Linked DNA regions of Pelodiscus sinensis. The protein of the gene in region 2 interacts with the protein of the main gene of each other region in a biochemical or structural test. Links are inferred from orthologs where the notes say so. Each region holds a gene or a part of one and is shown on either strand. Other genes may lie near its edges.

What was found.
Region 1: the proteins of CDK2 (region 2) and ORC2 form a complex in vitro, tested with the Homo sapiens proteins (2 studies listed by BioGRID and IntAct, with this or other methods). The link is inferred for Pelodiscus sinensis from reciprocal best matches to the Homo sapiens genes CDK2 and ORC2.
Region 3: of the proteins of CDK2 (region 2) and CDC25C, one has a biochemical effect on the other in vitro, tested with the Homo sapiens proteins (3 studies listed by BioGRID). The link is inferred for Pelodiscus sinensis from reciprocal best matches to the Homo sapiens genes CDK2 and CDC25C.
Region 4: the proteins of CDK2 (region 2) and RBL2 form a complex in vitro, tested with the Homo sapiens proteins (3 studies listed by BioGRID, with this or other methods). The link is inferred for Pelodiscus sinensis from reciprocal best matches to the Homo sapiens genes CDK2 and RBL2.

The regions. Positions count from the first base shown.
Region 1 is NC_134717.1:73,602,621-73,610,438, reverse strand, and holds the start of ORC2 (origin recognition complex subunit 2), read left to right. Parts: upstream 1-4,803; 5' UTR 4,804-5,054; intron 5,055-5,058; exon of another isoform or gene 5,059-5,214; intron 5,215-5,256; exon of another isoform or gene 5,257-5,402; intron 5,403-5,750; 5' UTR 5,751-5,782; coding exon 5,783-5,873; intron 5,874-7,818. UniProt on the Homo sapiens protein: Component of the origin recognition complex (ORC) that binds origins of replication. DNA-binding is ATP-dependent. The specific DNA sequences that define origins of replication have not been identified yet.
Region 2 is NC_134729.1:4,334,163-4,342,136, reverse strand, and holds the start of CDK2 (cyclin-dependent kinase 2), read left to right. Parts: upstream 1-4,974; 5' UTR 4,975-5,110; coding exon 5,111-5,226; intron 5,227-7,469; coding exon 7,470-7,547; intron 7,548-7,856; coding exon 7,857-7,974. Other genes in the region: melanocyte protein PMEL, read right to left, coding at 217-280. UniProt on the Homo sapiens protein: Serine/threonine-protein kinase involved in the control of the cell cycle; essential for meiosis, but dispensable for mitosis. Phosphorylates CABLES1, CTNNB1, CDK2AP2, ERCC6, NBN, USP37, p53/TP53, NPM1, CDK7, RB1, BRCA2, MYC, NPAT, EZH2.
Region 3 is NW_027465994.1:524,205-531,374, forward strand, and holds the start of CDC25C (M-phase inducer phosphatase 3), read left to right. Parts: upstream 1-4,163; 5' UTR 4,164-4,305; intron 4,306-5,252; 5' UTR 5,253-5,278; coding exon 5,279-5,466; intron 5,467-7,156; coding exon 7,157-7,170. Other genes in the region: oocyte-specific histone RNA stem-loop-binding protein 2, read right to left, coding at 3,008-3,085. UniProt on the Homo sapiens protein: Functions as a dosage-dependent inducer in mitotic control. Tyrosine protein phosphatase required for progression of the cell cycle. When phosphorylated, highly effective in activating G2 cells into prophase.
Region 4 is NC_134722.1:33,781,296-33,788,991, forward strand, and holds the start of RBL2 (retinoblastoma-like protein 2), read left to right. Parts: upstream 1-4,685; 5' UTR 4,686-4,851; coding exon 4,852-5,037; intron 5,038-7,696. UniProt on the Homo sapiens protein: Key regulator of entry into cell division. Directly involved in heterochromatin formation by maintaining overall chromatin structure and, in particular, that of constitutive heterochromatin by stabilizing histone methylation.

The DNA.
Region 1 (7,818 bases), on a different chromosome or scaffold from region 2:
GGCAGGAGGAGCATGCAAAGTTTCCTCCGGCTTACCCTTGCCCTGGGAGGCGCACACGGCACTTAGAAATGCTGTGCACTCTTGGCAGGGCAGGAGGAGGCTTTGCATGCTAGCTACTGTTTAATATCGGCCTTTGCTTGCGTCTCCCCAGCCACTTCTGCTCAGTCAGTATGCAGGCATGAAGTCTCATAACGGTTCACAGAATCTGCTGCTGTGATTCCTTGAATTGTAGTCCTCTCCTTGAAAGCCATTTTAATTATAATTTTGCTCCTTTGCAAATGTTCTTTCTCTTACTTATTACTCTGTGCAATGCATGTCACTGTCCTATTTGTTTTTATTTTTCTAGCTAATGCTCCAAAACATTTAAGTAAATAGTAGTTACTTATTCTAGCAATTCTTTCTGTGATTCCCTTATAGCAGTGTTTCTCAAACATTTAATAAAGTGCCCCTTTAAAAAAAAACAAAAAACTAAGTACCTCAAGTACCTACAGTTTTCAGACACACAATTTTCTTGCTACCATTGGAACACATTTGTTTAAACAACTTAATTGTAGCCAGGCAGGTGATGAAATTTTTGGGTGTAAAAAGTACAAAAATAATAAAGTGCTGTAAAACTTAAAACAAAAAATCAGTTTCTCCCACTGTGCTGACATACCCCCCCAGCCTCTCTCAAGTACCCCTAAGGGTACTCGTACCACTGGTTGAGAAACGGTCTTATAGCACTGGCTACCTTTTTATTGTTATGGAAGCATGTTCTTGGTGAACGAGGGCATATCATCCAACCTGTCAGCCTAACGAAAAAACCTTTCCACTGCTTGAACCAAAGCCGATCAGAAGGCATATGGGAAGACGCACCTAAACCCCTCTGAAAGCTCCCTTAGTATACATGTGTGTCACTCCATGAGTATACAGAATGGAGAAGACTCTGTAACACACAAGGCAGGGAAGCACTGCTGCATGGGAAATCCCTGCTCCAGAAGCTAATGACCCCTCACCTACATACACGCAGATGGGTGATTATCAGACCATTTTGTTATATCGTTTGGCGTTCCACAGTTTAGGAAGAAATCACTAGAAACACAGAGAACTTAAACAGTTGCAAGGGTCCATTTTATTTCATAACACAGAACTAGCTAGAACCAGCCCAAACCGGCGGGGCTAACCCCATGTGACCTAACTCAGTTACTATAACAAGATCTATATCTACAACCCCATACACAACACCTTCCACCTCTTTCAACAGGGCAACTCAGCATTGGCACTCCAACCATGTGGGGAAGGGGCTCCGAGGCTTGGTGCCCTGTCACATTATTGGATTTTAAAGTGAGCAGAAAGATCACTGTTGCACCATGGGTGGTGTTTGCCCCAAATTCTGTACAAAGTGGGCCATGTGAGGTGTCAAAAGCTTATACGAGTCTGCTGATTCTATGTATGCTACTCATCTACTTCTATGGTGTTTGTATGTGAAGTTATAAATATGGGCTCTGTACTTGTACTGTAAATAATTTCTGTCTCAGAGGGAGCAAGGGGCCTGGCCTGCCTATTGTGAGGAATGATAGTTCAGTGAATGGCTGTGCTAATTAGCCACTGCTTCTTGGATAATGGCTCTCAGAGTGGCTGATAAACACCTGAAGAATATGTTTGGAAACCTGCAGTTCCAGCCAATGCCTCATGGCTGCTTGCACGTGAAGCTCAAATTTGGGCGACACCAGGAATATAAAAATCCCATGAAGGCATCTCTATCTTGTCTTCAATCTTGCTCCTGATTCCAGATGAATCCTTGCTAGGGACAGAGAGCCAGGAAGAATTGCTGACCCATCCTGACACAGGATGTACACCAGAGACTTTTAAGCTAGCAGTTTGTAACATCTCTCCTAAGAGCCTGCATCAAGAACTTGGTGATTGATGTATGTAAATCTTACACAACCTTTTCTTTCTTTTATTAATCTTTAGATTCTAAAGGATTGACTCGGCTTGCTCTTGTGGGTAAGATCTAAAGTGTAAATTGTCCTGGGACTGTGGCTGGTTCTTTGGGACTAGGAGGATCTGTTCTGAGTGGGTGAGATCAGGTTTTATAACCTCTCACCTTGTGTGTAAGGTGCGGGGCTGATTGTGGCACAGGGAAAGCTGGAGTGCCTGAGGGGTTTTGCTTGTGAGGCTTCCTGCTGGCAAGACTGGTAGCTGAAGTGCTCTGTGTGACTGGTTTGTGGACTATTTGGGAAAGGTCTCCACTCGAGGGCTGTAAGTAGCCCTGGTTTTGAGCAATTCACCCTGAGCTGATGCCCTCAGTGGTGCCTAGACCAAGCCTGGTCCGTCACATACCCCCCCCTTCCCTGCATGGCTGGAGCAACAGTACCATCTTGTCCTGCTGTAGGGGAGAAGGGGGCCCTGAGCCTCATGGACTGGATCCAGGCAAGCTGCAGGCTGCATCCCGCAGCAGGGAAGCAGCTCTGTGAAGAGTTGCACAGGGAAGCTCCATCCCTACATTCACTTGCAAGCTACACCCCCGTTGCTCCTACTAGCCAGTAATTGCAGCCAGTGGGAGTAGTTTCCTATAAGCACAAAGCCATGCAGAATAGAGATGTAAGATTGTAACCATTTTAAGTTAACCAATAAACATCAGCTTACTGGTTTCCATTATGATTACATGCAATATCCTGGCTGCCAGCCCTGCTCCCAGGGAGCTGTCACCACGCGCTGTGGGCTCTGTAGTCTCTGAGGCTACATCTACACTACAGGCGTTTTGCACAAAAACTTCTTGCACAAGAGAACGTCCACACCTCAAAACACATCGCTTTTGCAATGCGCTTTTGTGCAAGAGAATGTCCACACTGCATGGACGCTCTTGCGCAAGAAAGCTCCAATAACCATTCACAGAATGGCCATCAGAGCACCTGTGCTTTTTCAGATAGGCTCTTTTTGCACAAAAAACCCCTGAGGAGCATCCACACATGCCTTTTTGTGCAACAGCTGTAGTGCAAAAAGGAGTTATGCCTTATATAAGGTTTACCTACACTGCAAAAAGCCCTATGTTCTGCCGTTTCACCGTTGATTTCCTTGCGCAAAAGCATGCTTGAGGTGTGGACGCTCTGCGGGTTTTTGCGCAAAAACCTTGTTGTGTAGATGTAGCAAGAGACCTTTTAACTATGTATAAGTATGTTTGCTGTTTGATGTGAAAACTAAAATGTTCCTGTTTGTGTCTTATAACAATAACAGTTTTATATTTTAAAAAACACCTCTCTATCATTGTGTCTGTGTGAGAAACTAATTATTCCTTCCTAAGTGGAATACTTTATATCTCTACTGCCTAAATTTCATCCTTTCTAGCTCAGATAATTTGCTATGTTTGAGTTCAGCAAGTTGGGTTGAGGATTGGCCCTTGAGTTTCAGCTCCCTGCTTTACCTCTGTTCTTGGGCGCTCTAGTCCTGCAACATCCGAGAGTCCTGGCCCACAGATGTTCAATCTGTAGTTTGTGAGATTTTTTTTTAAGATAACTTGATTTTTACCAATTTTGGAAATAGTACATAATACCCATTGTTTATGCCAAGCTGCAGATACAACAACACCACATTAGCAATTATAAGAACTAAGTCACAAACATAATATCAATTACAGCAGTGGTCTCCAACCTTTTTACACCCAAGTTTACTTTGTGTCAGATCAAGCCAAGATTTACCCCCTCTCCTTTCCCTGAGGCCCTGCCCACTCCATTTCTGCCCCCCCCCCCCCAATCACTTGCTGTCCTCAGCCCTTACTCAATTTCACTGGACTCTGGGGTAGGAATAAGGCAGTGAGAGATGTAAGCTCTGGGAGGGAATTTGGGTGGAGAAGGGGATGCTGGCTTGGGGAGGGGGTTCCAGGCTGGAGAGTATTGGGATCAAGTGGGATGCTGAGCAACTTTCAGGCCATGGAGAAAATGCCTGAATGCTTGTGGGAAGCAGGGTTTTGCATTTCCTCCGCCTCAGTGTATCCAGCCCACTGCAGGAAAAAGAAACCCAAATCAATTCTACAGGGAAACCAGCTCTGCTGAAGTTTTGAAAGGGACCCTGCATCGCCCCGCCCCCCAGCCTCGGGTCACCCTGCATCGCCCCGCCCCCCCAGCCTCGGGTCACCCTGCATCGCCCCGCCCCCCCAGCCTCGGGTCACTCTGCATCGCCCCGCCCCCCAGCCTCGGGTCACTCTGCATCGCCCCGCCCCCCAGCCTCGGGTCACTCTGCATCGCCCCGCCCCCCCAGCCTCGGGTCACCCTGCATCGCCCCGCCCCCCCAGCCTCGGGTCACCCTGCATCGCCCCGCCCCCCCCAGCCTCGGGTCACCCTGCATCGCCCCGCCCCCCCAGCCTCGGGTCACCCTGCATCGCCCCGCCCCCCCAGCCTCGGGTCACTCTGCATCGCCCCGCCCCCCAGCCTCGGGTCACTCTGCATCGCCCCGCCCCCCAGCCTCGGGTCACTCTGCATCGCCCCGCCCCCCCAGCCTCGGGTCACTCTGCATCGCCCCGCCCCCCAGCCTCGGGTCACCCTGCATCGCCCCGCCCCCCCAGCCTCGGGTCACCCTGCATCGCCCCGCCCCCCCCAGCCTCGGGTCACCCTGCATCGCCCCGCCCCCCCAGCCTCGGGTCACCCTGCATCGCCCCGCCCCCCCAGCCTCGGGTCACTCTGCATCGCCCCGCCCCCCAGCCTCGGGTCACTCTGCATCGCCCCGCCCCCCAGCCTCGGGTCACTCTGCATCGCCCCGCCCCCCCAGCCTCGGGTCACTCTGCATCGCCCCGCCCCCCAGCCTCGGGTCACTCTGCATCGCCCCGCCCCCCCAGCCTCGGAAGGGAAAGCGGCAGCCCCGGCTCAGGGTCCCCCTACTCCTCTGGGGGCCCAGCCCCCCTGCAGCAGGGCCAGGGGGTTGGCGGGAGCAGCTGCCTCTGGCCCCGCTTCTACTTCCTGCTCCAGGCTCCACCCGCCAGCCTGAGGCCCGGCCAGTCACGGGGCTAGCAGCCTCCCACGCGGCGCAGCTACGTGCCTGCTCCCCGCAGAGCTGCGTGCTGTTCCACGCAACAACGGCTGGTACCTGCTCGCCGGGGGGCTCGTTCCGGGAGCCGCGGCGCTCCCCCATAAGTCAGTGGCGGTTGAGGCGGTTGGCCGGCGGGGCTCCGCGAAGTACGCTGCGCGCGCTCCCCCCCGGCTCCCGGGGCGTGACAGCTACAAGGGGGAGGAGTCTGGGGGGGGGGGGCAACCGCCCTTTTGGCCCCGCCCTCTTTCCCACGGAGGTGGGGCATAAGTACGTCAGCGGCCCCGGCGATCGCGTTTCCATTGGGGGCAGCGCAGGCCCCGCCCTCTCGAGAGGCTGCGCGTCCTAGGATGAGCCTGGCGCCCGCCGGCTCGCGCTGCTGCTGCCCGGCCTTGGCGTGCGCCGTGAGTCGTGGGGCGGGGCGGAGAGGGGCTCGCGGAGGTGTCCTGCGGCCGGGAGAGCCCGGGGGGGGGGGGATCGGAGCTCGAGGCAGCTACAACTTCCGGGAGCGCGGGGAAGGCCAGGAGCCGCTTTGCAAAGCTGCTGGGTCCAGCGCCGGGCAGAGGCCCCTCTGAGCCCCCCCCGCTAAGTCCTCTGCAGCGCCCTAGCCCCCGTGGGAAGCCCCCGTGCTTAGCCTCCTGGCTGTTGCGGGCGGGGTGCGCGCGGCGGGCTGTGCTCCCCGAAAGGGCGTGCGGAGCTGCAGGTTTGCATAATGCGGGGTGGCTGAGCAATGCCCGCTTCTTCTTGCCTAGTTATTGTTCGCGGGCGTTGCAGACTGTCTGCTATGAATCAGCTGGAGGTAAAGAAGAGCAAGGTCCTGGAAGCCAAATTTGTGGCTGATGAAGATGTCCTGAAGCACATTGCTGATAACGGAGGTATTGCTGTTTTACCTGTAAACAGACATCTTATTTTGCGGATATTGAAATGGGTACAAGTTCAGGATTGTCAAAATGATTGGTAGCTTCTGGGTGCCCAGCAGTAAGCATCTTGGAGGAGTCTGCTCAGATAGTGAGTGCATAACACTTCTTACTAATGAGGCCGCTGTAAAGGCATTTTGTGTTTGGTATGTGAAAACCAAGGCACCTAAAATCACTAGTTGCTCCTGAAAATTTTGAATCTTAACAACCTGTATATTCCCAAAGGCTGTAGTGTCATGTAAGTGCCTCCTTTTTAAAAATTTGACTTGGGATTTCTTTTGATGGTGTTCTGTGTGCTTTTGACTTTGAATCTCTCTGGACAAGCACATTTGTGGGACTCACATCCTGATACCTGCAGCTCTGCAGTGGCAGTTACATTTCAGAATTTCACTGATGTAATTACTGGAGTGGCTATTGGTATGAAGTCTGGAAGTAACTATGAAACAAAAGTCATGTTAAAGTTTTACTTGCAAACCCGAATCAGTTCCAAGTTACAGTTGGCTGTTGGAACAGGTGCTGTCTTGAGTGCCACTGTGGCTTGGCTTAACTTGGTAAAAGAAGCAGAGACATATAAAAAGAGATTTTTTTAAAAAGTGGACATGAAATCCTAGTGAAGAAAATAAAAAGTAGCATAAACTTTGTCAAATTAAGTGCAAAAAATATAAGAAAAGCCAAAAAGGAGTTTGAAGAACAGCTAGCCAAAAACTCAAAAATGTTTTATAAGTACATCAGAAGCAGGAAGCCAGCTAAACTACCAGTGGGGCCCTTGGATGATTGAGATGCTGAAAGAGGGCATTCAAAGATGATAAAGTGATAGTGGCAAAACTAAATTAATTCTTTTCTTCAGTCTTCACGGCTGAGGATATTGGGCAGATTCCCAAACCTGAGCCATTCTTTTTAGGTGACAAATCTGAGTAATTGTCCCAGATTGAGGTGTCATTAGAGGAGGTTTTGGAACAAATTGATAAATTTACCAGTAACAAGTCACTGGGACCAGATTGCATTCACCCAAGAGGTCTGAAAGAACTCAAATGGGAAATTGCAGAACTGTTAACAGTGGTTTATAACCTATCCTTTAAATCAGCTTCTGTACCTAATGATTGGAAGATAGCTAACGTGACACCAATATTTAAAAAGGGCTCTAGAAGTGATCCTGGCAATTACAGATCAGTAAGTCTAACATCGGTACTGGGCAAATTAGTTGAAACTACAGCAAAGAATAAAATTCAGACTTATGGATGAATGTAATTTGTTGGGGGAAAGTCAATGTGGTTTTGGTAAAGGGAAATCATGCCTTACTAATCTGCTACAGTTCTTTTGAGGGGGTCAGCAAACATGTGGACAAGGGGATCCAGTGGATATAGTATACTTAGATTTCCAGAAAGCCTTTGACAAGGTCCCTCACCAAAGGCTCGTAAGTAAAGTGAGTTATCATGGGATAAGACAACTTTCATGGATTGATAACTGATTAAAAGACAGGAAACAAAGAGTAGGAATAAATGGTAAGTTTTCCAAGTAGAGAGAGGTAACTAGTGGGGTCCCCCAAGGGTCTCTCCTGGGACCCATCATATTCAACCTATTTATAAATGATCTAGAGAAAGGGGTAAACAGTGAAGTGGCAACATTTGCAGATGATGCCAAACTGTTCAAGATAGTTAAGACCAAAGCAGACTGTGAAGAGCTTCAAAAGGACCTCACAAAACTAAGTGACTGCGCATCAAAATGGCAAATTAAATTTAACGATAATAGATGTAAAGTAATGCACATTGGGGAAAAAATAATTCCAACTACATATGCAATAACATGGGGACTAATTTGGCTAAAACTATTCAAGAGAGAGATCTTGGAGTCATTGTGGATAGTTCTCTGGAAACATCCACTCAGTATGCAGCAGCAGTCAAAA
Region 2 (7,974 bases):
GCATCCAAAATCATCTACCCCCCCCCGAGAAATGTGCCCCCCCCGCAGGCTGATGAGAAGCCCCTGGACTTTAGTGGAGATGCTGGGGGGTTGTTGGCAGCAGCCCCAGTGTTTTGCAACAGGGATTGACCCTGAATTGGCTGGGGGTGGGTCAGATGGGACCCTACAGAACCCAGCCCCCCACCCCCCAAGCCCAAGGATCAGGACCCTACTCACTGTGCTGAGCTGTCGCCGCAGCCAGAAGCGCCCAGGCTGCCACCAAGTACCAGCTTGTCTGCATCTCCCAACCTGCCCCGCGCTCCCTGGGACCCCTCCGCGAAGGCAGAAAGAAGCCAAGCACCCCGGCCACCCTGTATAAGAAGGAGGCCTCATTTGCCTAGCCCCGCCCCTTTCCTGGCATGACCTCATGAAAATCTCATCCCCCCTCCCTCCAGCAGTGGGGTGTGTGGGTGATGGCCAGTCACAAGTTTGTGTTTCGAGCACAATGGGGCCGCATGAGTTGTGCCTTCCAGACAGACCCTGGAATTTCAGTGGGGAAGAACAGAGGCCGGTTTCCGCTCTGAGAAGAAAGGGCCTAATTACCACGGAGCTGCAGGAGGGACGCAGAACCCATGATACGACCTCACTGCTGGGTTGGGGGGCGAAAGGACAAGCCACTTCGATGCTGAGCAAAGCAGGTGCCACTTAGCACTTGGCAGGCCGGAGCTTCTAGCCACCCTCTCCCCAGGCAGGAGACAGGAGAGGTGCAGCACACGGAAAACTGACCAAGGGAGCTCACTGCTGCAAGATACTGAAACCAAGCACTTAGCAGCTGTAAACAAAGAAAGAAGCGGATGGGTATACAGTCCGGTTGTATGTATGATGTTAGCCCGGCTGAGAACAGGGCCCCACTGTACCAGATGCTGTACAAGAGACAGCTGCCACACACACACCCCCAAAAGAGTTTACAATTGAAATAGACCAAGTAGGCACACGAAGGAAACTTTCCATTGACTTCAGCGGGGGTTGGATCAGACCCATAAACCCACAGGGCTCTCAACATGATCCAGTCTCTTGTTCGTAGGGGCAAGGCAGAAATGTCTTTTGTGAGCAGCCAATTCCATAGTTGTCAACTTCCTGCTTTTCCACCTGAAATAGCAGAGACCGGATAGGTAGATTCCTCCACCATAGGTCCTATCCAGTGTTTGCAGGTCACATGTAGCTCCTTGATGGCCCGAGACAGCCTTCCGACAGCAGGAGTGGAGCAAAAAAGCTAACTAGTTTGATCAAATTGGAGATGCCTTCCAGTGGAACATTCTATAACACGAGTGACTTAGACCCGGTGAACATACAGACTTCACCTGATTAATTTAAGGGGTGATTTAAAGCCAGTCCAATTAAACCCATGCAACTTTGTCTGTGGACACTCTTGAAACTGGATTTAAACCCACCTTATAAAGTGTTTCCTTTTTTTTTCTGTTATAGAATCATAGAACACTAGAACTTATGAATTCTGAGTTTCTGTTATCCCTCTCCAGCTCATCTGATGAAGTGGGTTTTGCCCACAAAAGCTAATGAAACTATGTATATTTTGTTAATCTCTAAGGCCATGTCTAGACATTGGCGCTATTTCGGGATACTGGAAGTGTCCCAAAATAGCTATTCTGAGTCTTTAAACGCGCCCGTTATTTCGAAATAACGGTCATGCTATTCTCATTCCACGAGGGTTAAGGGACTTGTCGGAGTAACGCTTTATTTCAAAATTTGGCGATCTGTAGTTGGTGCCAAATTTCAAAATAAGCTATTTTGAAATTACCTCGAAATAAATTATGCCCTTTCAAGGTATGGGTGCAGTGTAGACACACCCTAAGGTGCCACAGGATTATTCATTGTTTTTAATATTAAAGACTAACATGGCTACCCCTCTGCCACCTTCTAGTGGTTTAGCATGTGTCTGTGTTTGTAGATGTGAGCTACGCTGATCGACCGTGTAGTAAATCACTAACTGAGATGCATACGGAGTGGGAGGGGGAGGTGGCTGGTGTTACTAAATCCACTCTCAAACCACTGTATATGAAACCGGTGCAACTCCTGCGTGCTCGGTTAGCTTGTGAATGGGAAGGAAAGACAAGCTGGATTACCTGGCTCTGTGGGGTGCCAGTAGTAGAACAAGGGCATGTAAATCAAGGGACCCCTGATTTTCCAGGTTTTGTTCAGGACAGGCCTGGCTTAGAGCGATTGCTGTGAATCACTACGTTCCAATCAAAATGGCATTGCTCATTGCAACCTGGGGCGATCCAGTAATTGACAAGGGGCTAACGGGACGTTGACTAGCCTATTTTCCTCCCATACAGAGCACCATGAGTAGAGCTGGCAGCACCGCAGGGAGCTGGGGCGTGGCGAATGGCCCCCAAAGGAGGAGTTGGGAACAGTGGCATCAAGCTGTTGTGGGATTTTCTGTGGTTCCCTGAAGCAAGGCACAGGAGACAGCTGCATGAGAGGCACAGCTGCATGTGCTGTCACCCTGTTTGCACAGGAAGCTGCTGCCTGCTCCCACCTCGGTTCAAAGGAACCGGAACTTTGTACCCATCATAAACAGACAAGCCACACTAAGGAGATACCTGACAGCATCACCCATGGCTGCTCCAGACCAGAAACTGACCTGGAAGGCCCCAGAATCTGCTACTGCTCAGCAAAAGGGGCAGCAGAACGAATGCCAAATCCTGTTCTGAAGCCCAGTAAGCTCTTGGCTGTGGCAAGACCATGCAGCAGTGAGTTCCGCACGTTAATTATGTGCGGTGCAAAGGATATTAGTAGCACCGGGGAGGGAATTTGTTTTCTAGATGTATCATTCTCACTCTGTCTGTGTCCCTTAAATAAAAGGAACAAACTGGGAGAGAGAATTCCCAGGAGTTATTGGAATTTAGAAGCCAAACTTCCAATGATTTTAATGGGAGTTAAGTGCCTAAATTCCTTTGCAGATCTGGGCCCATGTGTTCAGGATATTAGCCTGCTAAGAAAGTGATTGCTGCATCGCTTCCCCCCCAAACACTAGACATATCAGCAAAATCCTGTTTAATAAACCCATGTTTCCCTTGTGCCCTTATGTTTACCACTTTTATTAGCCCTTGACAAATTTTGTGCAAAATATGCCTTGTGAGTGATCATCTGAAAATCCATAATTCACTGATCATTATTGTCCTGTTAAAATAGGTGTGGCCACATTGTATGTAAAGTTATAAGATTCCATTGGATGATGTTACTACGGGTGTATTTCCAATCGGGGAAGAAGCACAAATAAATTCTTCAGTAAGTAAAAGGCAAACTGATGCTTCTGCCAGGAGTCAGCAAAACCAACTGGACTGTTCCCTGGTTAGGCAGCCCTTCTTTAGCAAGAAGGGTGCGAACAAGAAATTCACGGCTTGACAGAGGAACAGGCTGGCTGACACTTGAACCCCAGCTGGGGATGATTCTCAAAGAGGAGGAAAATGGGGAACAGAGGCCCCACCCCGATCACATCTTTCTCTTCATCTGTACTGGGGGTTTCAACAATATTTCAAAGACAAAGGAAGTGTCGGTGAACTGGAGAGGGGTCCTGGTGGAAGGAATCCAGCCAGACTGCTGTTAAAATATGGTGACAGAAATCCAGCTGCTCTTAGTTCACCTAACTAAGTAAAGTATTAGTTTGTGTTTTATCATTTATTTCTTTGTAACCAATTCTGACTTTCATGCCTTATTCCTTTGTCATCACTTCAAATCGATCTTCCTGTAGTTAATACGTGGGTTTGATTGTTTACCTAAACCCCTGTGTTTGGACTGAAGTGGTCAGGAATTTCCATTTGAGATAACCAGGGTTCGTGCATAGCTCCATAATGATGGACTTTCTCGGAGCGTGTACTGCACAGAGGGGGAGAGCTGGGCAGGCACCTGGAACTGGTGAACCTGGAACCCTTTGGTGAGGAGACCCTGGGCTCAGGGAAATGAAGAGAGCCCATTCAAACAATAAACCTGCCTCACACCAGCAACCCCCTGGGTGCCCGTTCAGGAGCTGAGCCCCGGCAGGCAGCAAGCGCAGCGTATCACCAAGACACACATGAGCTCATCACTCCGAATAGCACGCAGGCTCACAAAGTGTAGGACAAAACAAGTTCCCCAGGAACTCCGCGGCCTCCCACGGCCGGCTCTTTTGTCTGCCCGATTGAAGTTCCCAGAGCAGGTGCTTCTAGGCCCTGCTCAAGTCAGGAGCATCTCACCAACCAGCGGCACAGCTTTGTCGTGCTGCCCTGCTCAGTACGGCTCTGGCAGGCCAGGCAAGGGGGTCACGTGGCTGGCTGGCTGCTAGGGTTGAAAATCCCACTGCAGAGGAGGCCGTGGGTGCAGAACCTCCAAGGAAGCTTGGAGCCTCCATGCTTTTCAGGAGCTGGCTCATAGTGGTTTCAAAGGAAGCTGAAAGTCCTGGTTCCCAGCGAGGTCCTCAGGGCAGAACCCAGCCCTGGCTTCCTAGGCAGTGTAGAAACAGGGTCCCGAGCCGGGGCACGTGAACTGAAATAATAAAGGAATCGATGGGAATCCAACCCTTGGAGTCCCCTTCATAGAGACCCAGCCAGAGCCTCTGCAGGAGGGACAGGAGAGAGGACAAGTCCCCTGGGAGGGGGGGCACATGGAGTTAAATAATGGGGGAGTCTCCTTAGGGGAGGGGCACAGGGTGCATCCCCCTAGACACAGCTCAGGGGGCTCAAGGAATCCAGCAGGGGAACTGGGGAAATCACCCCAATAATACACGGAGCTGGGAGCAGCCTTTGGCCTGGCTCCCTCACTGACACCCATGGGGGGGTCCTAGGGCTTAGGGGCACCCTGGCTCCGGCCGCCCCTACAAGCGGGGAGGGCTGCTCCTGCCTCCGGGCCTGTCCCTTTAAGGAGACTCCCGCGTCGCCTCCAGCGCGCTCCTCCCCTCCCTCCGGGCGCCAGCCAATGGCGCGGCGGGTGGGGCGGGGCGAGTGGAACGCGGGAAGCAGCCGGGCCGGGGGTTACATTGTAGCCAGTTGGGGGGTGGGCTGGTAACCGCCGGGGGACGCGGAACGCGCTGCCGGGCCCGATCCCCGGCACCCGGGCCCGATCCGGGGCCGGCCCCATGGAGAACTTCCAGAAGGTGGAGAAGATCGGCGAGGGCACCTACGGGGTTGTCTACAAGGCCAAGAACAAAGCCACGGGCGAGGTGGTGGCGCTGAAGAAGATCCGCCTGGATACGTGAGTCCCCCCCCGCGAAGGGGCCGTACCCCCCCCCACCCGTTCATGGGGTAGCTCCAGCTTTGGGGGGAGGAGTCGGCACCTCCCCGGCCGGCTCGGGGCCTTCTGCAGGACACCGCCCCGGGGGAAGTGCGGTGCCCCGGGGCCTGCAGATCTGGCGGAGAAAGCCCCCCCCCCCCCCGGTCCTTGCGGGACGGGCTGTCAGTGGGCACTTGGCTTGAGTCCACGTGCAGCCAAGGTGGGGCGGTCTGAGCACTAGGACTGGGCATGGGCGTTACAAGTAGGGGTGCGGGGCTGCTGCAGCGCTCCCCCCCCCCACTTAAAGTGGTTTCCGTTATATCCAGGCGTTACAGTTGGGGTCAGAGGTTCTCAGCGCCCCCCCCCCCCATAAAACTTGTTCCAGCCCTGCTGGTGTTGGGGGGGGGGCACCCCATACCCTCTCCATGGGAGCGCTGGAGGCTTCCCAGCAATTCCCAGCTCCTGTTCTCCCTGGGCTAAGTCCACCCAGCTGAACCCGTGGGGTGATGGGTGCAGCAGGAATTGCATCCCTCCACCATTTCTACAGCCCCATTTCTGGTGAGTGGGGGAGTTCTGCCCCATACTCTTCACTGGTGCCCTGACAAAGGTCACGGGGCGGGGGGGAGAGACTCAGACCCACACTCCTTAGGCTTTGCCTGTAGCTGTGCTTAACAGCCATTCTCAGAATTAAGTCTGAATCTGGGGCTGGTGTCCACCCTACAAGGGGTGTGGGTCTCTTGGTGAGGTTCGGAGATGCCAGGGGCATGATGAATGGATTGGAAAACCCGCCTTGGAGGGACAGACTCAGGGAGGTCCGAGCGTTTAGCCTCACAAGGAGCAGGGTAAGCAGTCACCGGCCTAGTCAACAGGTTGGACCGCGAGCCAAGTCCAGGCCACCAGGTGTTTCTGAATAGGCCACAAAATCTTTGTCTTTACTTATTCGTTATTTATTGCTGGAAGACTTACCTGGTGCTGCTCAGGTCCTAATTATTGTGCTTGTCCCTCGTCCGGGGCAGATCCAGGTTTGTCTGCCCCCTGCGCCCCCTAGCCAGAGTGAGGAATGCAGCAAATGGTGCATTTTCCCCTTGCTACCTGATGAAGAGGAACAGCCAGCAATGTTCCCGTACGAATTGTGTGGGGGGGGGGAGTTCCCTTCCTAAAGGGTACCTGGGGGGTGGGAGGCGAGAGGCTCAGGGCTGGGGCAGTCCCATGGGGGGCAACCCCTTTCCCCTGCCTGGTGGCTGACTTTTTTGTACGGTTTTCTGAGAAGCAGTCCCATTCCAGACACATCCCATTTCCCTGGCACAACCCCTGACCTGGCTTTAAGTTATGATAAGAGGAAGCTGCCTACTGACCTTGGTGGTCCTAGCTCTCAGCATTTAGGAGGAGTCCTTGAACAGACAGACTCTCAAACTCTCTCAATACATCGCTGTGTGAAAAAGGGTTCCCTGGAGCCTGGGCCTTGACTGCCCTTGGTCTAAGAGCCCCTACCTGGGGAATCAGAATTTGGCCACTGCCTTGTCAGTCTTGCGGACAAAGGTCTAAGAGATGCAGTGGCAGGAAGTTGGAGGTCGAGTTGGTCTGGGAAATAAAGCCCACGTTTGTAACAACGAGGGTCATTCGCCACTGGAACGAGCGCCCAAGGGTTGTGGCAGATGCTCTGTCACTGGCCGTTGTTCGGTCAATGGGGTTGGGCCTGGCTGTATCCCAGGCCAGGGCTGCTCTGCTGCATGTTGCAGCTGGTGCCCTGTCCAGCAGCTGGTGCTCTGGCCCCTGGCGTGAGCACGTCAGTTTCTTTCTGGGAGTGGATGGGCAGCGCTCAGGGCAGTGCCTTTGGAGAGCCCTGGGCTCCCAGGTTCCGACCCAGACAGCTGGTTTGGTCCAGATGTGATTGGGGCAGGAGTCCAAGCAGGGCCTTGTTGGCTCTGGACCGATGTTAAGGATCCCGAGGGGGAGCAGAAGTTGCTTCCCTGTGTCCTAAGCTGCCCCCTCTCTTCGCTGTTGCTTCTACCCCAGAGGTGGCTGAGTTTCCATGGTGGTACATCGGGGTAAAGGGCTTTTGGCTTGTCACTGCTGCCCTCAGTTGGCACTTGTGTGGGCTGCAGGGCAGGTCTGAGCTGGGACAGAGTCGTTAGGCTGCCTGGTGTGAGGTCACTAGAGCGGGGCCGAATGGAGCCCCAGAATGGAGCTTGTCAGGCTCCTCATGGCTTCCCCCCCCACTGCAGAGAGACGGAGGGTGTCCCCAGCACGGCCATCCGGGAGATCTCCCTGCTCAAGGAGCTGAACCACACCAACATCGTCAAGTAAGTGGGGGAGGGCGTGTTATTGACATCTCAGGAGGGTGGCTGGGCTGCTGGGATCCAGAGCCCTCATCCCCCCGGGAGGGGGGGGAGGGAGCACCCAGATCCGTGACTTTCATGTGGCCGTCATCTGTGAGACATGGCTGGTCTTGGCCCGGCTCCCCAGCACGCAAGCTTGTCACGCTGGTGCTGCCCACTTCCATGGTTGGCAGCCCCAGCAGAGGCCGAGAGGGGCATGGGGCACAGAGTGCGAATGCCCCCAGCCCTCTAATCAGGGCAGAAGCCGTGACGTCTTCTCCTTCCTCTCACCAGGCTGCTGGACGTGATCCACACCGAGAACAAGCTCTACCTGGTCTTCGAGTTCCTGCACCAGGACCTGAAGAAATTCATGGACTCGTCCTCCGTCAGCGGCATCCCTCTGCCCCTCATC
Region 3 (7,170 bases), on a different chromosome or scaffold from region 2:
CAGGGAGGATGGACAAGAACACCACTTGTGCTTCAAATTCCTTGATCCTTCTTCCCAGTGCTACATAATCTGCAGTGACCCTCTCAGGGTCGTTCTTGGCCGTATCGTTTGTTCCTACATGGAGAAGCAGGAAGGGGTAGCAATCGGAAGGTTTGATCAGTTTTGAAAGACACTCAGTCACATCCTGAATTCAAGCTCCTGGAAAGCAGCACACTTTGAGATTCCAGATCTCAGCAGATGGATGACTCAGTCCCTCTTAGGAGGGAGTCCCCAACCACCACCACTTTTCTTCTTTTGGGGAGGGGGGTTGTGGACCCCCCCATCCCTAGGACTACACATCCCATTCCTTCCAGTAGATGGTGTTCCCTTCTGATTTCTTCCCTGAGAGGTCCCTGCCAAAGCATTCTCCACCGTAGTGCCTGTGCAGAGAGCCTGAAAGCAGTTACTTACCTCTACAGGAATGGGAGACACCTGAGTTGGCCTTCTTCTCCAGGAGATTACATGCTGCCAGTTCTCTTCCTTGTCCTGTACTACCCTGACTGGCTCTTCAGCCTGCTGTGCCTGCAGGGTTAAATGCTGCCTTCTATCGAGGAAATCTTCATCCTCTGACAGAACGTAGGGTTGATACTTGAGCCTCAAGTCCTCTAATTTTTTCTTCCAAAACGGCGACCAGCTTGCACTTAGTGCAGATGAAATCATTTCTGTCTTCTGGGAGGAAGACAAACATGGCACATGTGGTGCAGGTAGCAGCAGACCCATCACCATCTCACCGCCTTCTTTCTGAGAGATTTCTCACATGTTTTTAAATGCCCCTTTGAAGGGCAGAAGAGAAAAAAATTCAAGGAAAAGACCAAACACTATGGGTCTCTCCTCAGGGTGAACTCTCAGGCAAACTACCCTGTTGGCCACTCTGGTTGCCTTCTTATAAAGCTGATGGTAGGTCTGTCTCAAAGCCTTGCCTCTAATCCAATCAGACCTGAAGGCACTGGCCACTGTCAGCAGACAGGATACCGGGCTGGATGGACCTTTGGGCTGAGCCAGTACGACTGTTCTTATGTAATATCTGTATACATAGATAAGTTGTAGTTTGATCTGTGGAAGAAATTCAGTTAATCTATGTTCTTACTGCCATATTCTTTGTGGTTTCTGTAATCGTTATTCCTGTGGCAATAAAATTGATTTTCATTGCATTTCCTAATCTGAAGTGTGACTGTCAATCGTCTGCAAACCCTTATGAGGGGGAATCTTTTGGTTCTACCCACTTGTAACCTGGGATAGAGAAGATCGACTTAGAATCTCTGGTCAGATTGGCGAGCCTTACCCAACTAAATTCCACTATATCTCCTCCCCAGGCTACAATATGTACAACCACTTTCCTGAACAATGGGAATTCTGAGCAGGGAAGGAGCCTAGGAGAAGGGAAGTGTCTTATTCTGTGAGCCATGCACTTCATCCATCCTTCATCCCAGGGATTCTCAACATTGTTCTATTTGATGCCCCCCAACATGCTATTAAGAATTCTAGGGTCCAGCAGAGTTAGGGCGACTTCTCAGGGCAGGGACCTTGGGTGTAGGCATAGTTTGACTTCTATTTTGAGGGCATCAGGGCCAGCAGTGGTTGATCCAGCTCTGTACAGTGGGACAGTTGTGCAGGAACATTTTAAAAAGTGAGCGTGGTGAGCCCCTTACCACTGTCCAGCTGGCATGTGGGGCTGGGAGTGCTGTAGCACTCCCTATACCCCAACTTCCCATGCCTATGCAGTGGGGTCCACAGAAAGAAGCCACCTTCACCCCAATTCACCTCAGCAAGTCAGCCTGGCTGGGTTGGGGGGAGCACAAGCAGAAATAATTTAAATGTGGTGGGCACAGTGCAAAAAGTTTGAAAACAGCTTAGAGTGCAGAGAGGGAGCAGCTAGGGACTATGTGCTGACAGGGGGTATCTCAGGATGCAGGGAGGAGTGGTGGCTAGGAGATGTATACAGAGAGGAGCTGGCTTAAGGTGCAGGAAGAGGGTACTATGGGCTGTGTGCTGGAAGGTGTCCCCTGCAGTCCCTGTTCCCAGAAGGGCCTGCCAACCATGGAACTGCATCTCTCCACTTGGGTGGCTCTTACCTGCTGCCTTTGTGGGTGCAAAGGGGGCTGGAAACTAAGGAGCAGATTCAGTCTGGGGCACCAGCAGAAGACGAGGGACAACGGCTGCTTCCTGCTCTGTGGCACTGGCCAGAGCAGCCGCTATCCTGCATTGCCTGGCTCTAGCTTTCTGCATCCAACCTAGCGGGAGGGCAGCAGGGAAACAAGTGGGGAGATGTACTGGAGACAGGTTCTTACACTACTATTTCAGGATACAAGAGGGGACAATGTCCTCCATATCTCCAACTCTGTTCCAGAAATTGGCCAGAGCAGCCGCTATCCTGCATTGCCATTTTGCACAAGGGGCTTTTGCACTGCTCCTTCTTGCGCAAAAACCCCCTCTTGTGCAAGAGCCGTTCTGCCTGAAAATAAGCAGCAGAACAGCTCTTGCACAAGAGGTGGCTTTTGCGCAAGAAGGAGCAGTGTAGACTGCTCCTTCTTGCGCAAAAGCCCCTTGTGCAAAAATAGTGGCTCATTAAGTATGCAAATGAGGCATGCCTCATTTGCATATGTTCTTTCACAAGTCTGGCCAATGTAGACATACCCTTGCTGTTTTCCAGCACAAATTGCTCATTCTTATGCCCTTGATCTCACTATATTAAACATGCTTATGCTGGAAGCCATAGAAATAATCCTAAATCGAGACATCTGGCAGTTCCCTTGCCAATTCTGCCACAGCACATCTAGCCATACAATGAGGCTGCACAGGGAGCTGCCACAGCACAGCAACATCAGGCCCAACATGAGCCAGGGAGACCCCATTTGGAGGGTTGCAAGCAGCTCCCTTGTCTCTTTGCCCCGTTAATTACATGCATTTTATCTCTAAGGATACAGTCAAATGTCTGTTAACTGTAGACAGACAACACATTTCCACCCACCTGTTTTTATCACATACAGATGCTGTTCCAGAGGTAGGCTCTTCACATCCCAGAACAAGAGGTTCGTGAAATAGAGAACTGCATGTCAATTACAGAAGAAAAATCAATTCTCCACCTTAGACAGAGTTTGCAAACCTTCCCTACAAGGCAGTGAGCTCAGTGATCCTACTACTCCTCGGCCGGAAGAACACACTAACTTCTGAAAAGCCAGTGCTTAGGCCAGGGACAGACCTCTCTTCTGCAGGTTGAGCTAGCTAAAAACTGAGCTTCCAAGAACAATTCCAAACCAAGGGCAGCAGTCACTGCCTGTGAAGGCAGCCAAAGGGCTCTGCGTAACAGAGTCTCCAAATGCCTGGAGAGGATGATCAGCCAAGTGAGACACAGGCTAGAAGCGTTATGCACAAGAAGTCATGCTAACAAGGTGCCAAGCACGCCCTGCTCCTGCACTTCTGGTCCTGAATAAGCCCGGAGTGCCGCCAGCGGGCAGCAAGGCCAGCTCCATCACCTAGGCCCAGATGCTTTCCTTCCTCAGGGACACTGCAGCAAGGGCCCCAGCCATGCACCAGCCCCTAACTGGAAAGCCACTGGCCCAGAAGGCGGGAGCCCGGGTGCCCTCTGCTCCTTCCCGTCCCTGTGCACCAGGCGCAGACACACCCAGCGGCGGCTTCGCTCCGTGGCCGTGCCCGAGCCCCGCAAGCGCCCAGCTCCCAGGGACCGCGGGGGCGGGTCCCCCAGCTCGGTCAGGGCAGCGCCGGCCCCACGTGGACCGGGAACCCTCCCAACGGGGCGCTGACTGACAGGGGAACAGCGCGAGCGCGGCCCACGCGCCCCACCTGCAGGCCAGCGGCTCCCAACCGCCCAGCGCGTGAGACTCTGGCAGCATGAGAGGCAAGCGGTGGGGGTGTATGCAGCACTACGTCACAACCAAGCAAAACCTTCCCCATTCGATAGGCCGGCCTCGCCTCACTGATATCTACGGCCGCAACCCCAGCAACCACGTGCTCCCGGGGACGGTGATTGGCCTCACAGAGCCACAGATGGGCGGAACCCCTTCGAGCGTCCAATAGAAAACGTTCCGTCCGCTTCTCCCCGAATAGGTGCGCACCTCGCTCGAGTCACGCGGATTTACCCAATCAGAGAGCGGCGATTTTGTTTGGGAGGGGGGCATCCTTCAGTCGTTCTGATTGGTCACGATCGGCACCAATCTCTGTGATTGGCTGGGCTCAGGCGGCAGGTTTAAGTTCCGAGTATTCTATTTTCATTCAAGTCTGTGGGCTCGGGACCTGGAGCTAGAGGGGGTGAGGCCAAGACCTGAGAGCAGCGGGCGGGAGGCCCCGGGGATGGGCGCGGGACGCTGAGAGCAGCGGGCGGGAGGCCCCGGGGATGGGCCCGGGAGGCTGAGAGCAGCGGGCGGGAGGCCCCGGGGATGGGCCCGGGAGGCTGAGAGCAGCGGGCGGGAGGCCCCGGGGATGGGCACGGGAGGCCGAGAGCAGCGGGCGGGAGGCCCCGGGGATGGGCACGGGAGGCTGAGAGCAGCGGGCGGGAGGCCCCGGGGATGGGCCCGGGAGGCTGAGAGCAGCGGGCGGGAGGCCCCGGGGATGGGCACGGGAGCCCGAGAGCAGCGGGCGGGAGGCCCCGGGGATGGGCACGGGAGCCCGAGAGCAGCGGGCGGGAGGCCCCGGGGATGGGCACGGGAGGCCGAGAGCAGCGGGCGGGAGGCCCCGGGGATGGGCACGGGAGGCCGAGAGCGGCGGGCGGGAGGCCCCGGGGATGGGCCCGGGAGGCTGAGAGCAGCGGGCGGGAGGCCCCGGGGATGGGCCCGGGAGGCCGAGAGCAGCGGGCGGGAGGCCCCGGGATGGGCACGGGAGGCCGAGAGCAGCGGGCGGGAGGCCCCGGGGATGGGCACGGGAGGCTGAGAGCAGCGGGCGGGAGGCCCCGGGGATGGGCCCGGGAGGCCGAGAGCAGCGGGCGGGAGGCCCCGGGATGGGCACGGGAGGCCGAGAGCAGCGGGCGGGAGGCCCCGGGGATGGGCACGGGAGGCTGAGAGCAGCGGGCGGGAGGCCCCGGGGATGGGCCCGGGAGGCCGAGAGCAGCGGGCGGGAGGCCCCGGGATGGGCACGGGAGGCCGAGAGCAGCGGGCGGGAGGCCCCGGGGATGGGCACGGGACGCTGAGAGCAGCGGGCGGGAGGCCCCGGGGATGGGCACGGGAGGCTGCCGCGGGTGACTCGGTTCGCGTTGCTCCTAGGTGGCGGCTCCGCGGGCCGCAGCGCCATGGCCGGGAATATCTCCCCTGCGGGACCCGGCAGCCCCCGTTCCCGTCTGGGTTTCCGAGCCAGATGCAGGATGGTGCTGAACTTGCTGAGGGACACGGAGGTCTCTCTGCCCTTCACCCCGGAGCTGCCCCGCACCCCGGTCACGGACCTCGCTCGAGGCTTTAGGAACCTCAGCACCTTGGCAGGGTAAATCCCATCGTGGCCACCTCCTCCAGGAAGAGGCCCCCCTCGGGTACTGGCAGTAGGTGGGGAAAGTCTGCCTGGTAGTGGGATGAGGAATAGCCCCAGGCACAAGGCTCCGATAGCCACCCTGCCAGCCAACGCTGTAGTAGGAGGAGAGGGGCTGGGCCATTCACAAGCTTGGCTTGTTCTGGGCTGATTTCTTTGCACCCAGGCTGCCCAGCAGGCAGAGACCTAATAGTGCGTCTGTTCTCCCTTTAGCATAGCAGCCCTGGTGGTGCAGGTAGCATGGAAGATGAAGCTGGGATGAAAGTCAGTCTCCTTGCTCAGCGTGAACCAGGGTGCACGTCAACTGGTGCTGCTACAAGGGCTGGGGCAGCAGCTTGCTCTTGAGGGGTGGGGTGATTGAGACATTGAGGTCTGAATTTAGGACAGTGGTCTCTGCCCTTTTGAAGCACAAGATCACTTTTTGAAGTGCAGGGTTTAACTCAAACCCAAATATCCCCGCCCTGCCCCTTCTCCAAGGCCCTGCCCTTGACCCACCCCTTTGCCAAGGCCCTGCCCTCCTCACTCTGAGGATGGGGTACAGGGGAGGGGGACAGAGTGACATCAGCACCCCCTGCCTCTGACTCCCCCACCCTGCACAACAAGCAGGAGGCTCCCAGGGGGCAGCTCTGAGGGTCTGGGCAGGGAGAGGCAAGGCAGTGTGGGGAGGGGCAGCCAAACCAGTCAGGATCACCTGTCAGAGGCTCCTGTCTATAAGACTCTGTCCCTGCTTTTGCAAGGAATTCTGAGCGGGCTTTTCATTAAAAAAAAAAAAAATCAAAAGTCTTTTGGTGTAAATAGCATGGCCACTAGAGATGTTAAATGTCGGTTACCTGAATAGCCAATTAACCTCATGAATTCTTATCAGTTACTTGACTATTCTATAGTCCCTGGGGGTGAGGCAGGGGCTGGCAGCCAGCGTGCTCTGGCCCTGCTCCTCAGAGGCCCCTGCCACCACTGTATCAGAGGCAGGAGCGCGGGGTGCCAGGCAGGAGCTAGTCTGCAAAGGGAGCCAGTTCAAAAACCAGTTCCCCTCACAGACCTGCTGCCTGTCACCCCACACTGCTGCCTCTGATACAGAGGCAGCAGCACTGCGTGGCAGCAGCCCCTATCCAGGGGCTGAGCTCCCAGACCTGGCACAAGCCAGGACTGAGCTGGGCTGCCAGCCTGCTTGGCTCCTAATACATTTGAAATGCAGAGCCGCAGTGGGGTAGGTCCCAGACCTGACGCAAGCCAAGACTGAGCTGGGCTGCTGGCTGGCCTGCTAAAAGTACTGGCAAGGGGGGAATGCGTGTAGTCTATAGCATTAATTTATAAGCTTTTGCTTATTGGTTAATCGACTACACTATTACATCCCTAATGGCCGCTAAACTTCTCGGGGGGGCCTGAGGAGCCATCTCTGACTGAAAGGAGCCATCTTTTTATAAAAGTGCCCTTAAGAGCTCCCAAAGTGGCTGACAGAGCTAATGTTTTGATGGGGGTGGATAATCTTATGGTTCTGGTGGCTCTAAGCGGGGGCATGATGCAGAAGAGAGTTCTGACAGAGATCCTCCTTTTGAGTCCAGTCTTCCATCAATCAGCATGTGAACATCCTGGTAATTGTCACCAATATTTCCATCCTGATGCTTTGGGTTTTGATGTGTTGTTGCAGGAATACGCCAAAGT
Region 4 (7,696 bases), on a different chromosome or scaffold from region 2:
AGAATTAATTATGCGGCATGTGTCTACCACAAAGGGCACCTCCAGTCCTCTCTACCCTCAGTTTCTTCTTGCTGACAGTGACGGTGCTTGGAACCTGCTCATCTCAGTGTGAGCATTTCCCTAGCTGAACTTGCTTTTCCTTGTAAATAGTTTCTATTGCTCGTTTACTGTTCTAAATAGTGCAGGTTCCATAGGGACCTATTCCCTGGCTTCAAGTTGTGTCACAGCTGGAATCAGCCCATGCTAGTGAGTGACACTCACTGCGACCATTTGCAGTGCTTAGCGGAAGCTCATAGAAGTGATATATGCCACATTTGCAAGTCCTTCAAGCCTTGCACCAGGCAGACATATTCATCTGAAGTCTTCTGTAATGGAGTCCACCTTAGCTCCGATGCATGAGCATTCAGATTCGGCACCAAGCACTGCTGGCCTGATGGCACCGCTAACTGGCACCGCTCACTAGGTAAGGCAAGGGCAAGTCTCCTGGACCTAAGAAAAACAGGCCCAGAACATTGATGCCAGTGGCCTCTCCCTGGTTTGTTCAGCAGACAACTCAGGCCTCTTCGGAGCATGGGTCCCCTTCTCGCTCCCTGGCCCGATCTCAAATGGTATGCCTACACTTATGTCGACACCCAAAAGTCATCAAAACAAAAATCACCAGAGGGTGTTCACACTTGCTCCCTTGGTCAACAGATCATGTCCACTTTGGGGACACCATCATCACCTATGTAGTGGGAAGGCAGAGCTGATCTGTGAACATCTTGGGTTTCCCTCTGAGTTCTCCCACAGCCTCAGCTGCTGGGAGCAGCATGATGAGTAGCTTTGTGAGCCCTCCATGCTGAGAAATGTCAAAGCAGAACAGCGTCTATACCCTTGCCCTCACACCAGCAGGCTGCCTGCTACTGTGTTCCCAATGCAGGACAAAACAACATTCCAATGATTTGTTCTTTGTTCCCCAAACAGAGCAGCTTACTCAGCTGTCAGATATCTCTCAGCTTTGAAAGGGGATAAGCAGCGGTACCTGTGGAGGCACCAGTAAATATAGCAGCGGTACCCCGCCAGGGGCTTATCCTGGTGAACCACTGTTGTCTTATTGCCTACCCTGGACTAACCTAACCTGGATCAAGATATGACTAATAAGTACCCTGTATCCTTTAAGAAATACTACTTAGTCTCCAAGGTAGATGGCAACTTAGTAGCCATTACTTCAAAAATCTGCCCCTATATTTATTCTCTCCCTACCCAAATGACCAGAGTGGATTCAGTCATCTGCCAGTGTAAAGGTTTTGAGATCATTGCCTTGGTGCTCAAGATTGCCAGCCATTTGGTTTATATAGTAAGGTTGCTGCAGTGTCAACTAGATCACTCACCTGGCAGTAGGTAACATAAAATTGGGTCACAAGGCAGCATGACAGTAACATGTATGAAGGATTTTTGTTCTGCCTTACTACTTTGCCACACAAATCAAGCTTGTGCACAAGGAGAATACGAAGGGTGCAACCCCCCCCCCCCCAGCCACCACCACCACCACCATGGTTCCCCAAGTAAACATGCTCCAGTTAACTGGGGAAAGGCAGGAGAGGTGCCCTGTCCCAGCCTCCCTCCCACATCCTCTAGTCGGCCAGGGGAAGGCTGAGGCTGATTTCCAGCTTACTTGGGAGACCAGGGTGGGGGAGATGCGGTCACATCTTTGCAGTCTAAATTTATGAAAAAGCACACCCACCCAGAAATTCCTGCATATGGGCCTGCAAATTCTGATAGAATTGTCTGTAAAATTATGGGCGCACTGCTTGGTCTACAGTAATGGACATACTTGATTTTGGTTTTAGAATGCCACTTTGTCAGGAACAATTCACTTTGAGACTACTGCATTCAAAGAAGTTCAGCTGTTTCAGGAAGTGAACAATGTGATGTATGTAAAAACCCATATGTTGTCTCCCAAAGTTCCCTGCAACCCTGGTCGTCTTGTAAGAAATATCATGTTTCTCTTTCTCAGAGCACTTTCCAGGGTGAAAAGTCTAGTATTATGTGGACTGCTATAGCATCTGGGAGCTGTAAACATGGACCAGAACTCCATTGGCATAATTAGTGTCTACATTAGGGGTTACACCAGTTCAGTAGTATTGGTGACTGAAAATTTTGTGTAGACAAGGCCTGAGATGGCTCTGAGCAGTGAGTTAGAGGGATACAATGAGTTAATGTTTAAGTTGTGTATTGATCTTATTTTGCACAACTGAGCTTTGTGCATATTAGCAGATTAACTTTTAAGGGAGACTTTTCAGTGGAAATTATCACTATTTTAAATCAATTAATATATTTATCACCAAACATTGTGATAAAAATATTTCATAATTGTTTTTTATTGAGCAGAAATCTATAAAACAATTGCCCTGGCACAAAGCTAGCTATGAAGACTGTGCCATGTTTAAAATAATAATTTTATCTGTTTTAAGTGATTTTATCTTTCTAATTCAGGAGGTTGTATTTATTATTTTTGTAAATAGTTACAGGGTAATTTCCAGTGGGTCCTTCTTAGTCCTCCTGAACATTTAGGCCATAACCGTGCAAAGAATGAGTGTACTTCACTTTCTGCATTGTATGAGTAATCCCAATCACTACAGGTTCACAGACCCTGATCTTCAACTTGTGTAAACTGCTACAGCTCAACTGAAATCCACTGAATGATTGCAATTAACACCAGCTGAGGATCTGCAGGATCAGGACCGTAAATTGAAAAGGTTTGGACAATTTTGAGCGGTTATAGCAGAAAAGTGTTTAAAACAAAAACTCAAATCAACTTGTTCGAATATGAGGAGACCAAACAGACACAGTTAAAATTTTTTACAACAAAGGCTTAAAATGTTGGCTTCACTTTCCCTGATTTTCAGTCTTAAATTGTATTGATACATAAGTTTGAAAGGATTGTTTAATTTCCCCCATCTATTCTTGGTGAAAAGAGCTACAGTAATGGATTTACTTTGTGGCCACTTCCTTTCATTCTGACACATTAGGTTTTATGCCTACAATGTATCTCCTATTAGGGCTGCTCTCCACTTTTCATTACAGCAGGAACAGCTGTGAGCCTGCTGCTAACTCCGCTGGCCCCACAGAGCTATCAAGCTGTTACAAATCTGCAGGCGAAAACAGACTAGGAATGGCTTGTTCAAGGAACAAGTGCAGTCCGCCAAATTGAAGAGGGAGTGCTTAAGCAAAAGGAGGAATACGCTGCTGAAGGAGATGTACATGGAACATGAGGACAGGAGAACATGCAGGTAACTGGAAGTGAGGAACCAGGATCATCTTGATGTGTGTGGTGGTTGTGATGGACCCCATGGCAGCTTTCCAGAATGCCTACATGAACAGGCACCCTCTCCAGCCCTTGCAGAACAACATTCCCTCCTCAGAGATTTTCATAGCTTCCTCTCCTATGGCCCTAGAACAGAGTGTGGGAGTCACTCACACTCGACCCTGAGGGATATGTCTTGAAACAAAAGGCTGTCCTTGCAATTGTGATCATACACATTCAGAAGCGGTCCGAAGCTCACTGTGGCAGCTGGTGCCCTAGGCGGAAGGTGCGATCGGCACCTGTGCCTGCATGGCTGTCAATGGCTGTGATGTAATCATGACATCATCAGGCGCCTGGACCCATGGTGCCCTAGGCAATTGCCTAGGTCCATGGGTTGCCCCTGTACGCATTCACATCCTTCAGTTCCTGCTCTGGCCTTCTTTTCTGTCCCTGCTATGTTCCCTAAATAAAAAGGCATTAATTTCTTAATGGGTAGTCTGCTTATGGCTTGTGTTGGAAAGAGGAGAGGGAGTATTACAGGCAGACACACTAATGGCAGGGACACCTTTCATAAAACTGTCGAAGTCTGATGTGCACTTCTCCTCACTGTGCTCTCATTGCTCGGGTTAGATGCTGAGTATTGCCCTTTCCCCTTCCCCGACAGATCACATCTCCCCTTACATTCACAAATACCGTGGAGCCCAGCGTTGGCTACCACCACAATGGGAATGTTTCATTTGTTGCCTTCTAACCTAGGCAGTAGACTGGAACCTTCCAGGGGCATTGGCTCCTGTGCCCTACACAAAGCTGGGGGGTTGTGTGTAATCATGAGGGGTAACCAATGAGCAGCAGCGGTGCAAGTAACATTTCCTCCAGGTCCTGTCCCATCGCTTCTTCACCGGTGCGGAGAGCCACTGAATCGGAATGTAACTCTGCATGTGCGGAAACCAAGTGGGGCGGCTGCACCCCTGCCTGCACGCGGCTGCACCCCGGCCAGACAAGCTGGCTGGGAACTGCCGCTGCCCCGGCCTAGCTCTGTGACGTGTCACGGTGCAGAATCGCAGCCCCCCCCGGACCGAATGCGAAAGGCAGCGCGGCCGCCACGTGGCCATTGTTTCACGCGCCTCCCCGCAGCGCTATTTCAGGGCGGGGCTCCATGCTGGGACCAGGCAGCGAGGAGCTGCGGAACCAGCCTGCCGCCTAGAGGCGGCCGGCCTCCTTCACAGCGCTGCGCGCGCCGCTACCACCTGGCCTACGCGTCAGGCCCCGGCGAGCCAGAGCCACCGCAATGCCTCCTGGGGGTGGTAGTTTTTGCTGGCTAACTGTGGGCCGGGGCGGCGGGCACGTCTTGCCGCGATAGGTCGCTGAGACGCCGTCGCCGGCGGCTGCGTAGAGCGAAGCGTTCTGCGCCTGCCGGAAAAGCGCCCGCTGATTGGCGGCGGCTCCTTGGGGGACCAATGGCAGTCCAGGGTTGGGGCGGAACTCGGTCCCGGGGTGGTTGGTCTGGGGCGGCGCAGGCGCAGTGCGCGGCAGGCTGGCGTTGCCCTCTAGCGACGGGGTAGGGGATGCCGGGCGAAGAGGACGAGGAGGCCGAAGCGGGGGTCGGGGGCGCCGCCTCCTCCCCCCCGGCGGAGGAGTGGGGCGTCCGGCAGCGTTACGAGGATCTCTGCAACAGCCTCAACATGGACGAGCGCGCCCGGGCCGAGGCCTGGCTCAGCTACCAGAGCATGAGGCGCAACTACACCCTGGAGGTGAGGGGCGGCCACGGTGACGGGCGGGGCGGCCGAGGGGGAGGGGCGGACGCCAAGCCCTAGTTGCGAGGGGGGGGGACTCGCCTCCTTTGTGGTTGCCGCCGGGACCCGCCTCCCAGCGGGGGGAAAGGCTCCGTAGCCCTGTGCCGGGGTCCTGCGGCTCTGCCCCGGGTGATCATGATGGGAACGGGGATCAGCTCCAGGAGGGAGCAGAGTGAGTCTGCAACAGGAAAAACGTAAACAACAGCGAGCAGTCCGGTAGCACTTGGAAGACTAAGGAAAGGTGCCGCTGGTATTCTGAGCGTTCCTGGTCCCAGCCCACTTCAGGTGACTGGAGAGTTGGAAGTCCAGCTCCAAGACTAAATAAGGGATGGAGGGAGGGATCCCCCAGTGGCTGTTTTGTTTCAGACCAATTCCACAAGCCTAATGCACAGAGACGGATTGGAGCTTAACTTCGAAAGTATCTTTCGAAAAAGCCTCTTTCAAAAGAGGCTTGCAGTCTAGACGTAGCCTAAGATGCTACTACAGGCAGTCCCCGAGTTACGCGGATCCGACTTATGTCGGATCCGCAGTTACGAACGGGGTTTGCTCCCCGTCTCCCTGGTCTGCTGGTGTCCAGCAGACCAGGGAGACGCGGAGGACCCAGGCAGCTTCTCGGTCCGCCGCCCGCGTTTCCCTGGTCTTCTGTGGGGGGAGGGAGGGGCGCAGCTAGTACGCCCCCCCCCCCCCCAGCAGACCCGGCTTTTCTCCGGACGCCTGTGGTAGAGCAGCTGGGGCGCTGCCGGTTGGTCCCGCAGCACCACTCTGGGCGCTACTGGACCAACCCGGCAGCACCCCAGCTGCTCTGCCCCAGGCGGTCCCCAAGTCAGCCGCTGCTGAAACTGACCAGCGCTGACTACAGGAAGCCCGAGGCAGAGTTGCTCTGCCCCGGGCTTCCTGGAATCAGCCTCTGATCAGTTTCAGCAGCAGCTGACTTGGGGATGCCTGGGGTTCTTAAGTTGAATCTGTAAGTAGGAACTGGCGTCCAGATTCAGCCTGTTGAGACTGATCAAAGGCTGATTCCAGGAAGCCCGGGGCAGAGCAACTCTGCCTCGGGCTTCCTGTAGTCAGCCGCTGGTCAGTTTCAGCAGTGGCTGAATCTGGATGCCAGTTCCGACTTACATACAGATTCAATTTAAGAACAAACCTACAGTCCCTATCTTGTTCGTAACCCGGGGACTGCCTGTATACTGTTTGTTGTTTTTTAAGTTTTTCCTATTACAGACTTAACCTTCAGAGGGATAGCTGACTATCTGCTCGCTGTCTTTTTTTCTTCCTCCCCTTCAACTTTTTTTCCTTCTCCTTCCTTCCCTTATTTATTCTTGGACCTGGACTTCCAGCACTCTGGTCATCTGAAGAAGTGGGTTGTGTCCATGAAAGCTCATAATACCATCTACATGCTTTGTTAGTCTACTAGTAGCACTTTAAAGACTATTTGTTGGTTTTTAATAATGGTGATGTTAGTGGTTGCACCATAAAGGGAAGGGGGGGGGCGTGTGGAGTCTCTCCCCTTACGATGTGTGAACTCAAGGACCTAGCCTTTTCCTAATGAAGGCAAAATCACCCTGTTAGTCTCATTTAGCATGGACGCTCTAATTGATAGCTTCAGGGGGTAGCTGAGTTAGTCTGTACTCAACCGTGGTCACCAACTGGTCAATCGATTGCGAGGGCTTGACCAGTCGATCGTGAGGTGTTCGGGCCACCCTCCTCCCCCAAGAAGCCCCACTACCTACCTCCAGCAAAAATGGAGGTAGTGCCTGCTTTCTGTGGGGTGGACAGAAGTCCTGCAGCTGTGGGGGCTTCCCTCCTCTTCAGGAAGGGGAGTTGGCCCCGGAGAAGGCACGAGCGGGGATTTCTCTCCTCTGCAGGAGGAGGGTCCTGGGAAGAGGCTGGTGCCAGGGACTCCCTGCCCCCACTTGCACCCTGTCCCGTGCTGCAGAACCCTGTCCCCTCTCTCCTGTTCCCCACTGGCACCTTGCCTCCACCCTGGCACGCTGTCCCCCTGCTCCCACTGGTACCCTGTGCCCTGCTGCAGAACCCTGCCCCCACCCCAGCAACCACTAGTACCCTTCCCCAGTACCATGTCCCCTGCTCTCACCAGCACAGTTGGGGCCACATTAGTGAGGCTTCGGGGGTTTTTGGCAGGAGGTGTGGTGTGGTGTGTGGGTGTGGTTTTTTTTCATCTCGTGTGGCCCCAACTAACTTTTCTGTGGGTCAGTGACCCCCGACGCAAAACAGGTTCCCTGCCCTTCTCATAAATAAAGACAATGCAGAAACTTTTTGTGTTTGACGTAGTATTTTTTTAAAAAATTAAGCCTGGCCAACAAACCCCCAGTTGGGACCAAGCCCCCATCTGGCTGCAGCATTATAACACTCCTGCACCCCCCCCCCAGGCCCTAGTTCTGAGCCTATCATACACTGAAACCCCCTGCCCTGAACCTCTCACATACCCCAACCCGAATTCCTGCACCCTCACAGCCACAAGCCTGTGGCTTGCTTAGTACCACAACCCTCCATCTGACCCCAACACTCCCCAGCCTGAAGCCTCCTCCCCAAACCAGCATCCCCTTCTCCACCTCCTCCTGCATCCAAATTTCCTCCCAGAGCTTGCACCTTTCAC